Linked DNA regions of Kluyveromyces lactis. The protein of the gene in region 2 purifies or fractionates together with the protein of the main gene of each other region. This does not show direct contact. Links are inferred from orthologs where the notes say so. Each region holds a gene or a part of one and is shown on either strand. Other genes may lie near its edges. The genes, in order: RPS3, SRO9 and KLLA0_A04730g.

Region 1 (2,421 bases), on a different chromosome or scaffold from region 2:
GTTCTCAAAATGCTCCGGCGTGGCAGCAGGATTGAATAGGATATTATAGTCATATGGTTGATTAGAAAAGAAGATCCCCATCAAAAAAGTAGTTGATCCAATGATCAATGCTGTACCTACAGCACAAAAATCCTTATAAGTTAGGCCCATATTTACTTTCAGTCAATGTGTTTAGTGAGCGATACCTACGTTCTCTTAAAAATGGAACGTATAGACCCTACGTGTGGTATTAAATGGTTAACAATTCATCTATAATTGAGCCATTGGTTTTTTCAGTACGCACTATATATTCTCTTTTTTTTTAATAATTTACATGATTTTTGCCCACCGAATTTTTTTGATTAGTATGAAAGATAAAGGAACTGAAAGGCGGAAAGGCATTATCGGAAGGCGCTATCGATAAATCATTTTAAAAATCCATTGATAAAAGCAGGACGTTTTAATCGATGTCATCTGGGCATAGATTACTTATTTTTAAAAGAATTGATGAGTTTCTTAATATTTATACATATAAGAACGGTATTTAATAGACTAATTAATAATATAGAATCAAACAGATATCAATTGATTTAAGCAGATTCAGCAGCTTCAACTGGTTCAGTTGGTCTGTAATCCTTGACAGAAGGTTCCAAAACTGGTTCTTCTTCCTTTGGTTCGATGATGGTAACAGCATCTGGCAAAGCCTTTGGACCAGAGGTGTTTCTAGATGGGTCCTTCATGATCTTAACCTTAATACCCAAAACACCTTGTCTCAACAAAACGTGTCTGGTAGCGGTTTCAATGAAGTCGTTGACTGGTTGACCGGAGTGGATCAAGAAACCGTCAGCGAACTTCATGGACTTGGCTCTAGCAGCTCTCAACTTACCGGAGATGACAACTTCACAACCCTTGGCACCAGATTCCATAACGTATCTGACAACACCGTAAGCAGCTCTTCTGATGGCCAAACCGTTCAACAATTTGAACTTCATGGATTCAGCTTGAGCAACAGCGGACAAACCACGGTCATGGACTCTTTCAGCGTATAAAGCAATGGTACCACGCTTGTACTTGAATCTCTTTTCAATCAACAAGGTCAATTCGTTGATTCTTCTACCATTTTCACCAACAACATCTTGAACCTTAGTAGCTCTGATGATAATTTCGGTCTTGGTTGGAGTAACTCTGACTTCGACACCAGAGTAACCTTCTTCAGCCAATTCTCTGGTGAAGAATTCGTTCAATTCGGCGTAGAAAACACCGTCAGCGACAAGCTTTCTCTTCTTGGAGATAATGGCAACCATTTTTACTTTATTTGTTCGTCGGGGAGCTCGAAATTATAGGTGATAATAAAACTAACTAAAGTAAGTATCTTGTATGTCCAATGGCACTTATGTTCATAATGAACCAGATTGTAAAGCGATGATGAGAACAATATTCGTCAAACCGTCCGAATCGCTGCGATTGGTATGGTGAAAATGAAAAAATCATCTGAAAGACAGTATTTACTCACCAACACATGTGGTGTATGGGTTAATGCTTCAGATAAATGAACATTTTCAATGAGATAAGTACCCAAAATGGCAATGCAGAAAAAATTGGAAAAAAAACTAAAACAAAAATGTCCGGGTGAGCAGTCCCAGGAACATATATTTTCAAGTCACCTGGTAAGCGTAGAAAACTCGCCGTAAACAGAAAACTTCAAGACCGTTCCTCCATTTCCTAATGGGGAAGTTCCTAAATAGGATTTATACGCGAGATGTTCCACCCCCTGCATTGGTTTATGTGAATACTCGAGAGCCTTGTGGTAACTCGCATCACTTAGGAAACAGACAACACAATTGTTTCAACGAATAATAAAATGGGAAATAACATAGGAATTCCAGACAATGTTGCAATCACGGCGTGTCACAGCTGCATACTTGTTATTCCGAAAAGAAAGTACGTCAATATTGACCGGGTTTTAGCAGGTATATGACCCAATATTGCTTCGGGTAATTACAGGATGCCGTTTCGTTTTCTCTCTCTCTCTCTGTTTCTCACAATTTGAACGAAAAAAAAGAATAATATTGGGAGCCAGTACACCTGCAGAGGGTACAGCGAGCACACTCGAATATACGGAATGTACCAGAAATGCCTCAACCTACCTACCCACTACAATCCATTATAACAACTACCTTTTCATGTTCCTAGTAAGTTTTCCCTAAGGCCAAAAAAAAAAAAAGAAAATGAAAATCAGCTACTTGCTCACTCGAAACAAGCACATCGATTGGTGCAACTTGTGTGAATAAAAAGAAAGAACCATGTAGGTAGGCAGCTCATTTTGTAAATGGTTTTCTGAGATGTTCGGACTCCTGCACAGCCTTTATAATGGGCCAATCAATTCCACTTTGTAACTTACTAGTTCACTCGTAGATCCTTTTACTGGTTGCCTATACAGTT
Region 2 (3,488 bases):
TCATATGCCTCTTCGACACAGAAGTGAAAGCTTCGTGTTAACGGTAAAACAGAATGGTCAAAATTTTCTCGAGGATCGTAAATTGTAATACCGATTTCTGTTACGATATTTGTATCTCGTTCGTAAGCCTCTAAATCCACACAAAATAGGATAGTCTTCTTTAAGTTGATGCATTCAATTGCATTCTTCCACTTTTTCCATTCTGATCTACCAGGATAACATTGCAATTTTGGCTTGGCCGCATCCCGAATCCGATCACAGAGTAAAGCATCAGAAGGGGTTACATCTGAATGGAAAGGACATGTATTGAAGACCTCTTCCTCAAAACGTTGAACTAAAGCTACATGGGACTTCTTCTGTGCGATGTATGTTTTCTTGAGAATGCTTCCGAGGTCTTTAAGGTACAATGCCACCAATTTCTCAGCTAGTTGGTTTCTGACGTACCCATTATACTGGATCTCTTCTGAATTGTCTCCGAATTTTCTTGGCGGAGAGGTCCTTTCCCAATCTTTCAATATTTCTTCTGGAGTCTTGACGCCTAGTGCCTCATAATAAGAATCCAAATCAATGTCTGACATGACCTGCACACACTTAAAACACCTATATTCTCTCCGTGGTTCTTTCGTTCGACGAATATAGATCTTTGGATTAACACAACGAAATAGTAAGTAAATAATACCGCTTAATTCCTCGATGTGAATCTGATACTGCTCAATTTATCAATGTATTCTTTGTGTGATTTATCGTCTTGAGCTGAGCAGAATTGTCGCGCACCTTAAAATCTTAATTGCCTAAAGAAACACCTGTTGTGATTAAATTCCCATGTTTTTTTCATTTGACTTCAAAATTTCAACTTAGTACAGCAGCAATCATCTAAACAGTACCTAGTATGTCAAATAGTGTTCTCTCTTACAACAACGAGCCTCAATTGCCTCCGCTGATGCTCACATCTCAGTAACGTTTTCCTTTGGTTGTATGAGTGAAGTAAACTCTAACATATTATCAGGGTAGAAAATCGATAAACCCTTACACCGCACCACGCACTTTTTTCTTTCTTGAAGCTAACTTTGCTCACTGATGCTCTTCGCTTCTCGTTTTTTTTTTTCAGTTTTGAAAAATCATTGACAAAAGATATGCGATGAGATATGAACAAATTATATAACCAGTAACCTCTTGGAAGACTAATACTATATTTCCACCACTATATTGTGAACAAGCCAAGGCAAGTATAATTCTGTGTAAGCGGTGTACTATTTTTTTTTGACAGAACCAAAGGCATTGATAAAAAGCTTTTACATTAAGTTATTTCCTGCACTCATTTTTTTTGGAGTTGTCTTAGTAAGTGTTAGTTCTAAGTTTTGATCCGACACGTAAAGAAAGCAAATATAACTGCATTGAAATTTGGCTTAAGAGTGTTTTAGTCATCATCAGATTGTTGTTTGAAAGAGAATATAGAAGGAACGAGAGAAAACGTTAGAGAAACAATATGTCCGAAACTGTTACAACTACCACTGTTCCTGTTACTGATACTCCGCATGAAACTGAAGCTGTTTCAGTTGAGGTTGCTACTGCCAGTAGTAACGACACTACTGTTGCCACTGCTAATGATGATGTAGAATCTTCCAGTGTTGATTCTGAAGGAGAAAAGCCGAAGTTAGTGTTGGCACCTTTGCCAAAAAAGTCTCCTTGGGAAGAGACCGGTGTCACTGAATATAAGCCTTTAGATTTGTCAAAGGTTGTTGCGGCTAAAAATAAGAAAGTCTCCAGTTCTAGCAAGTCTCGTAGTAAAGGTACTCCGTCTTTGACCGGTAAGGAAAGATGGGTTCCATTAGATGTGGATATCACTGTTAAAGACAAAATTCCTGATGTCAGTAATGCTAATGGCGGTAAGGGTAAAAAACTGAAAAATAAGACCAAGAAGGATAAGCCAAAGGTTGCCAAAAAGACCAAGGGTAAAGACTCTACCGCGAAGCCCAAAAAGGACTCTGAAGGCGAAAAGAAAGCAACAAAGAAGCAGGATCGCCAGACAAACAAGACATCGAGCTCGAATGGCACCAACGAAAAGATTTCTGTCAATGGAACTACTCCTGCTTCTGCCTCGGGTTCTTCTGATATCACTAAAAACGGATATACTGAAGAGTCTAACCAAGCGGACAAGAGACCAGAAACGGCATCCAGTTCAAACTCTGAAGCTTCTTCCGAAAACGGTATATCTGCTCCACCATCTGCTGAAACTGATGGTAAGAAAGTTGAAAGCCAGCAACGCCGCTTTACTCCTAACTCTAAGCCATTTTACCCAAGAAACGCAAATCACCACAACAACCATGGTCATGGGTACCACCACCAGCATAACAAAAATAACCATAATAATGAGAATCATTACCATGGTTCAAAGTATCAACGTCAACGTTCGTACGCTCCTGTAATGTACCAACAGAATTATACCCCATCGTACGTCTTGGTTAATGAGATTGTCCGTCAAATCCAATATTATTTCAGCATACAGAACTTGAGCAAAGATATGTTCTTAAAATCGCAAATGAATGCTCAAGGTTACGTTCCATTGGCATTGATCTCAAGATTCCATCGTATGCTAAACTTATCTTACGGCGATGTCGGATTGATTCTAGCTGCATTACGAGAATTGAAAAACTCTGAAAACTCCAATGTCAACATTGCTAAATTGACTGAACCTTTCGAAAATGTCGTTGGGAATCCTTTGTTCCAGTATGCATTAAGTTCTAAAGTTTGGACTGCTGACGAATCCATTTCTGAACCAAAATCTTACGACACCGTTGAATTCGTCAGCGATGAATTAGAGCTATTTAAAATTGAACCAATCAACCCAATAATAGATTCATTACCATCCTTCAAACCAAACTCATCTACTGAAAAACACGAGCAAAACCAAGATCAAGATCAACAAGAATCTTCAGAAAATCAAGAAAATCAAAACCAAGAAGTCTCTGTACAATAGTGTTCCCTTGTCAAATATACTCTTTTTATTTTCTACCCGTTCACTGCATATTATATTTAACAATCAAGCTCTCATCCACATAATAACATATATATATACACACACAGTTAATCAAACAACTTCCACTTTTTTTTTTAATATTTGCTTTGCGTAAAAATAGTCGTTATGTGAAATGCTTTCTTTCTCTTCACTTAAAAAAAACCTTTAATTTCGAGGACGTTTCAAGGGAAACAGTTTAGTTTAGACAGTCGAGCATTACCACACCAAAACACTAACCACAGCGCGCTCGAAAACAAACACCACACTTGCGTCGTGATGAGTTATGAGGCAGTTCCTGCCGAGAATTCGGCTTTTATACCTGATCAAGCCAAACGTAATATCAAGGGATGGTATTTCTATTGCTTCTCAAGTGAACCCTTCATAGTCAGCGCTGTTTCCACGTATGTCCCATTATTGTTAGAACAGTTTGGTAGGATTAACGGTGTTAAATTGGATGATCATAGTCTCAGAT
Region 3 (3,761 bases), on a different chromosome or scaffold from region 2:
ATTCTATCGGTTCCAGTCGTGTTGAAGGATCTGGCGGTGGTGATTCCGAAGTGCAAAGAACCATGTTGGAATTGTTGAATCAATTGGACGGGTTTGAAACTTCGAAAAACATTAAAATCATCATGGCTACAAACAGATTGGATATATTGGACCCTGCATTGCTAAGACCAGGTAGAATTGATAGAAAAATCGAATTCCCACCACCAACCGTAGCGGCTAGAACAGAGATTCTAAGAATCCACTCAAGAAAGATGAACTTGACCCGTGGTATTAACCTAAGGAAAGTCGCCGAAAAGATGAACGGATGCTCTGGAGCTGACGTTAAAGGTGTTTGTACCGAGGCTGGTATGTACGCACTAAGGGAACGTAGAATTCACGTAACCCAAGAAGATTTTGAACTAGCCGTGGCCAAGGTCATGAACAAGAACGACGAAACTGCTATCTCTGTAGCAAAATTGTTCAAGTAAGGATCCTTCACCCCTTTCATCTCAAACAGCGCATATCATTAGATACATCCCTACATATTATACATAAGCCACGTACAACACACGCCTGTGGTTGTACCCCCGTGTCAATATGTTTCTAATCAGATCCTCTCTTTTTCCCCCTCATCGCATCTCATCTCGTCATAAACTTGACCATCATGTCAATCTTCTCAATATACACGAAAGAAGAAAAAAAAAATTTTTACATTGTAAAGAGGAAAAGCTGTGAATCTTTTGAAATAAAATTTCAACCTTTAAGCCATTGAATTTTACCATTACGATAGCACATTTTGCATAAAACAGGATAGAGGAAAAGAGGCACAGAGAGCTACTGCTGATCTGATAGTCAATAGATTTATCAGCACTTGTATTGTTTGAATTGTTAGAGAGTAACAGTGGACAGTAAAGAAACAAATCTGGGAAAAAAAGAATCTCACAAGAAAGTGATAATTTTTTTTTGTTCTTCGTTTATTTGTTTAAAGAGAAAGAGTTAAGAATTGGACTTTAATTTCATTCTACTCATTCGTGTTTCTATATAACTCGACTCGTTTTCTCTAGGTACTCTGGATTACTCGGTTACAAGAGAGAAATTAAACAGAAAAGAGCTTAGATCCAGCTAATTTCATCTGAAGAAGAGAGAAAGAGCGGTTTTTCAAAGCAGATATGGGCGAACCTACATCCGATCAGCAACCAGCTGTTGAAGCTCCAGTTGTGCAGGAGGAGACAACCAGTTCTCCGCAAAAAAACAGTGGATATGTCAAGAATACTGCTGGAAGCGGTGCTCCTAGAAATGGGAAATATGATGGTAACAGGAAGAACTCTAGGCCTTATAACCAAAGAGGTAACAACAACAATAATAATGGTTCTTCCTCGAATAAGCACTATCAAAAGTATAACCAACCAGCGTACGGTGTTTCTGCGGGATACATTCCGAACTACGGCGTATCGGCAGAGTACAACCCTCTGTACTATAACCAGTACCAACAGCAGCAACAGCTGTACGCTGCTGCTTACCAGACTCCAATGAGCGGACAAGGTTATGTCCCCCCAGTAGTGTCTCCAGCTGCTGTTTCAGCTAAACCAGCGAAGGTTGAGATTACTAACAAGTCTGGTGAACACATAGATATTGCTTCCATTGCTCATCCACATACTCATTCTCATTCTCAATCTCATTCGCGTGCAGTTCCAGTAGTGTCGCCTCCAGCTAACGTTACCGTCGCTGCTGCTGTATCATCCTCTGTGTCTCCATCAGCTTCTCCAGCTGTCAAAGTACAGAGCCCTGCTGCTAATGGTAAGGAACAATCTCCAGCTAAGCCTGAAGAACCAAAGAAGGACACTTTAATTGTGAACGATTTCTTGGAACAAGTTAAAAGACGCAAGGCTGCTTTAGCTGCTAAGAAGGCTGTCGAAGAGAAGGGTCCTGAGGAACCGAAGGAATCTGTCGTTGGAACTGACACTGATGCAAGCGTTGATACTAAGACAGGGCCTACAGCCACTGAATCTGCCAAGTCTGAAGAAGCTCAATCAGAATCACAAGAAAAGACTAAGGAAGAGGCTCCAGCTGAGCCAAAACCATTGACTTTGGCCGAAAAATTGAGACTTAAGAGGATGGAAGCTGCAAAGCAAGCTTCTGCTAAGACCGAGGAACTAAAGACTGAAGAATCTAAGCCTGAAGAAACAAAGACCGAGGAGCTAAAGACTGAAGAATCTAAGCCTGAAGAAACAAAGACCGAGGAGCTAAAGACTGAAGAAACAAAGTCCGAGGAACTAAAGACTGAAGAACCTAAGGCGGAAGAATCAAAGGCGGAAGAACCAAAGCCTGAAGAACCAAAGACCGAGGAACCGACGACTGAACAACCAAAGTCAGATGAACCAAAGTCGGAAGAATCAAAAACTGAAGAGCCAAAAACCGAGGTATTAAAGACTGAAGAACCAAAATCGGAAGAATCAAAGCCTGCAGAACCAAAGACTGAAGAAACAGCAACTGAAGAAACAGCAACTGAAGCAAACGCCGAAGAAGGTGAACCGGCTCCTGCTGGTCCCGTTGAAACTCCTGCTGATGTTGAAACAAAACCTCGAGAAGAGGCTGAAGTTGAAGACGATGGAAAGATTACCATGACCGATTTCCTACAGAAGTTGAAAGAGGTTTCTCCAGTTGATGATATTTATTCCTTCCAATACCCAAGTGACATTACGCCTCCAAATGATAGATATAAAAAGACAAGCATTAAATATGCATACGGACCTGATTTCTTGTATCAGTTCAAAGAAAAGGTCGATGTTAAATACGATCCAGCGTGGATGGCTGAAATGACGAGTAAAATTGTCATCCCTCCTAAGAAGCCTGGTTCAAGCGGAAGAGGCGAAGATAGATTTAGTAAGGGTAAGGTTGGATCTCTAAGAAGTGAAGGCAGATCGGGTTCCAGGTCCAACTCGAAGAAGAAGTCAAAGAGGGATGATAGAAAATCTAATAGATCATACACTTCCAGAAAGGACCGTGAAAGATTCAGAGAGGAAGAAGTCGAAGAGCCAAAGGTTGAGGTTGCCCCATTGGTCCCAAGTGCTAATAGATGGGTTCCTAAATCTAAGATGAAGAAAACAGAAGTCAAGTTAGCTCCAGACGGAACAGAACTTTACGACGCGGAAGAAGCATCAAGAAAGATGAAGTCATTGCTGAATAAATTGACATTAGAAATGTTCGAACCTATTTCTGATGATATCATGAAGATCGCTAACCAATCTAGATGGGAAGAAAAGGGTGAGACTTTGAAGATTGTCATCCAACAAATTTTCAATAAGGCCTGCGATGAACCTCATTGGTCATCAATGTACGCGCAATTATGTGGTAAGGTCGTTAAAGACTTAGATGATAGCATTAAAGACTCAGAAACCCCAGATAAGACTGGTTCTCACTTGGTTTTGCATTACTTAGTCCAAAGATGTCAAACTGAATTCCAAACAGGATGGACTGATCAACTACCTACAAACGAAGACGGTACTCCTCTACAACCTGAAATGATGTCCGATGAATACTATAAGATGGCTGCCGCTAAGAGAAGAGGTTTGGGTTTGGTTCGTTTCATTGGTTTCTTGTACCGTTCGAACTTATTGACTTCCAGAATGGTCTTCTTCTGTTTCAAGAGACTAATGAAGGATATTCAAAACTCTCCTACTGAAGATACTCTAGAGTCTGTATGTGAACTTTTGGAAACAATTGGTGAACAGTTCGAAGGTGCTCGTATTCAAGTTACTGCAGAAGCTGTCATTGAGGGTTCA

What was found.
Region 1: the proteins of SRO9 (region 2) and RPS3 purify together in Saccharomyces cerevisiae (affinity purification with western blotting; 3 studies listed by BioGRID, with this or other methods). This does not show direct contact. The link is inferred for Kluyveromyces lactis from reciprocal best matches to the Saccharomyces cerevisiae genes SRO9 and RPS3.
Region 3: the proteins of SRO9 (region 2) and KLLA0_A04730g purify together in Saccharomyces cerevisiae (affinity purification with western blotting; 4 studies listed by BioGRID, with this or other methods). This does not show direct contact. The link is inferred for Kluyveromyces lactis from reciprocal best matches to the Saccharomyces cerevisiae genes SRO9 and TIF4631.

Annotation. Positions count from the first base shown.
Region 1 is NC_006040.1:705,056-707,476, forward strand, and holds RPS3 (40S ribosomal protein uS3), read right to left. Parts: upstream 1,284-2,421; coding exon 570-1,283; downstream 1-569. Other genes in the region: SHR3 (Shr3p), read right to left, coding at 1-150. UniProt on the Saccharomyces cerevisiae protein: Component of the ribosome, a large ribonucleoprotein complex responsible for the synthesis of proteins in the cell.
Region 2 is NC_006039.1:93,407-96,894, reverse strand, and holds SRO9 (Sro9p), read left to right. Parts: upstream 1-1,486; coding exon 1,487-2,977; downstream 2,978-3,488. Other genes in the region: KLLA0_C01232g (uncharacterized protein), read right to left, coding at 1-578; ATG22 (Atg22p), read left to right, coding at 3,293-3,488. UniProt on the Saccharomyces cerevisiae protein: May overlap in function with tropomyosin and may be involved in organization of actin filaments. Acts as a multicopy suppressor of RHO3 mutation. RNA-binding protein which may modulate mRNA translation.
Region 3 is NC_006037.1:422,316-426,076, reverse strand, and holds the start of KLLA0_A04730g (uncharacterized protein), read left to right. Parts: upstream 1-1,148; coding exon 1,149-3,761. Other genes in the region: proteasome regulatory particle base subunit RPT6, read left to right, coding at 1-467. UniProt on the Saccharomyces cerevisiae protein: Component of the eIF4F complex, which interacts with the mRNA cap structure and serves as an initial point of assembly for the translation apparatus.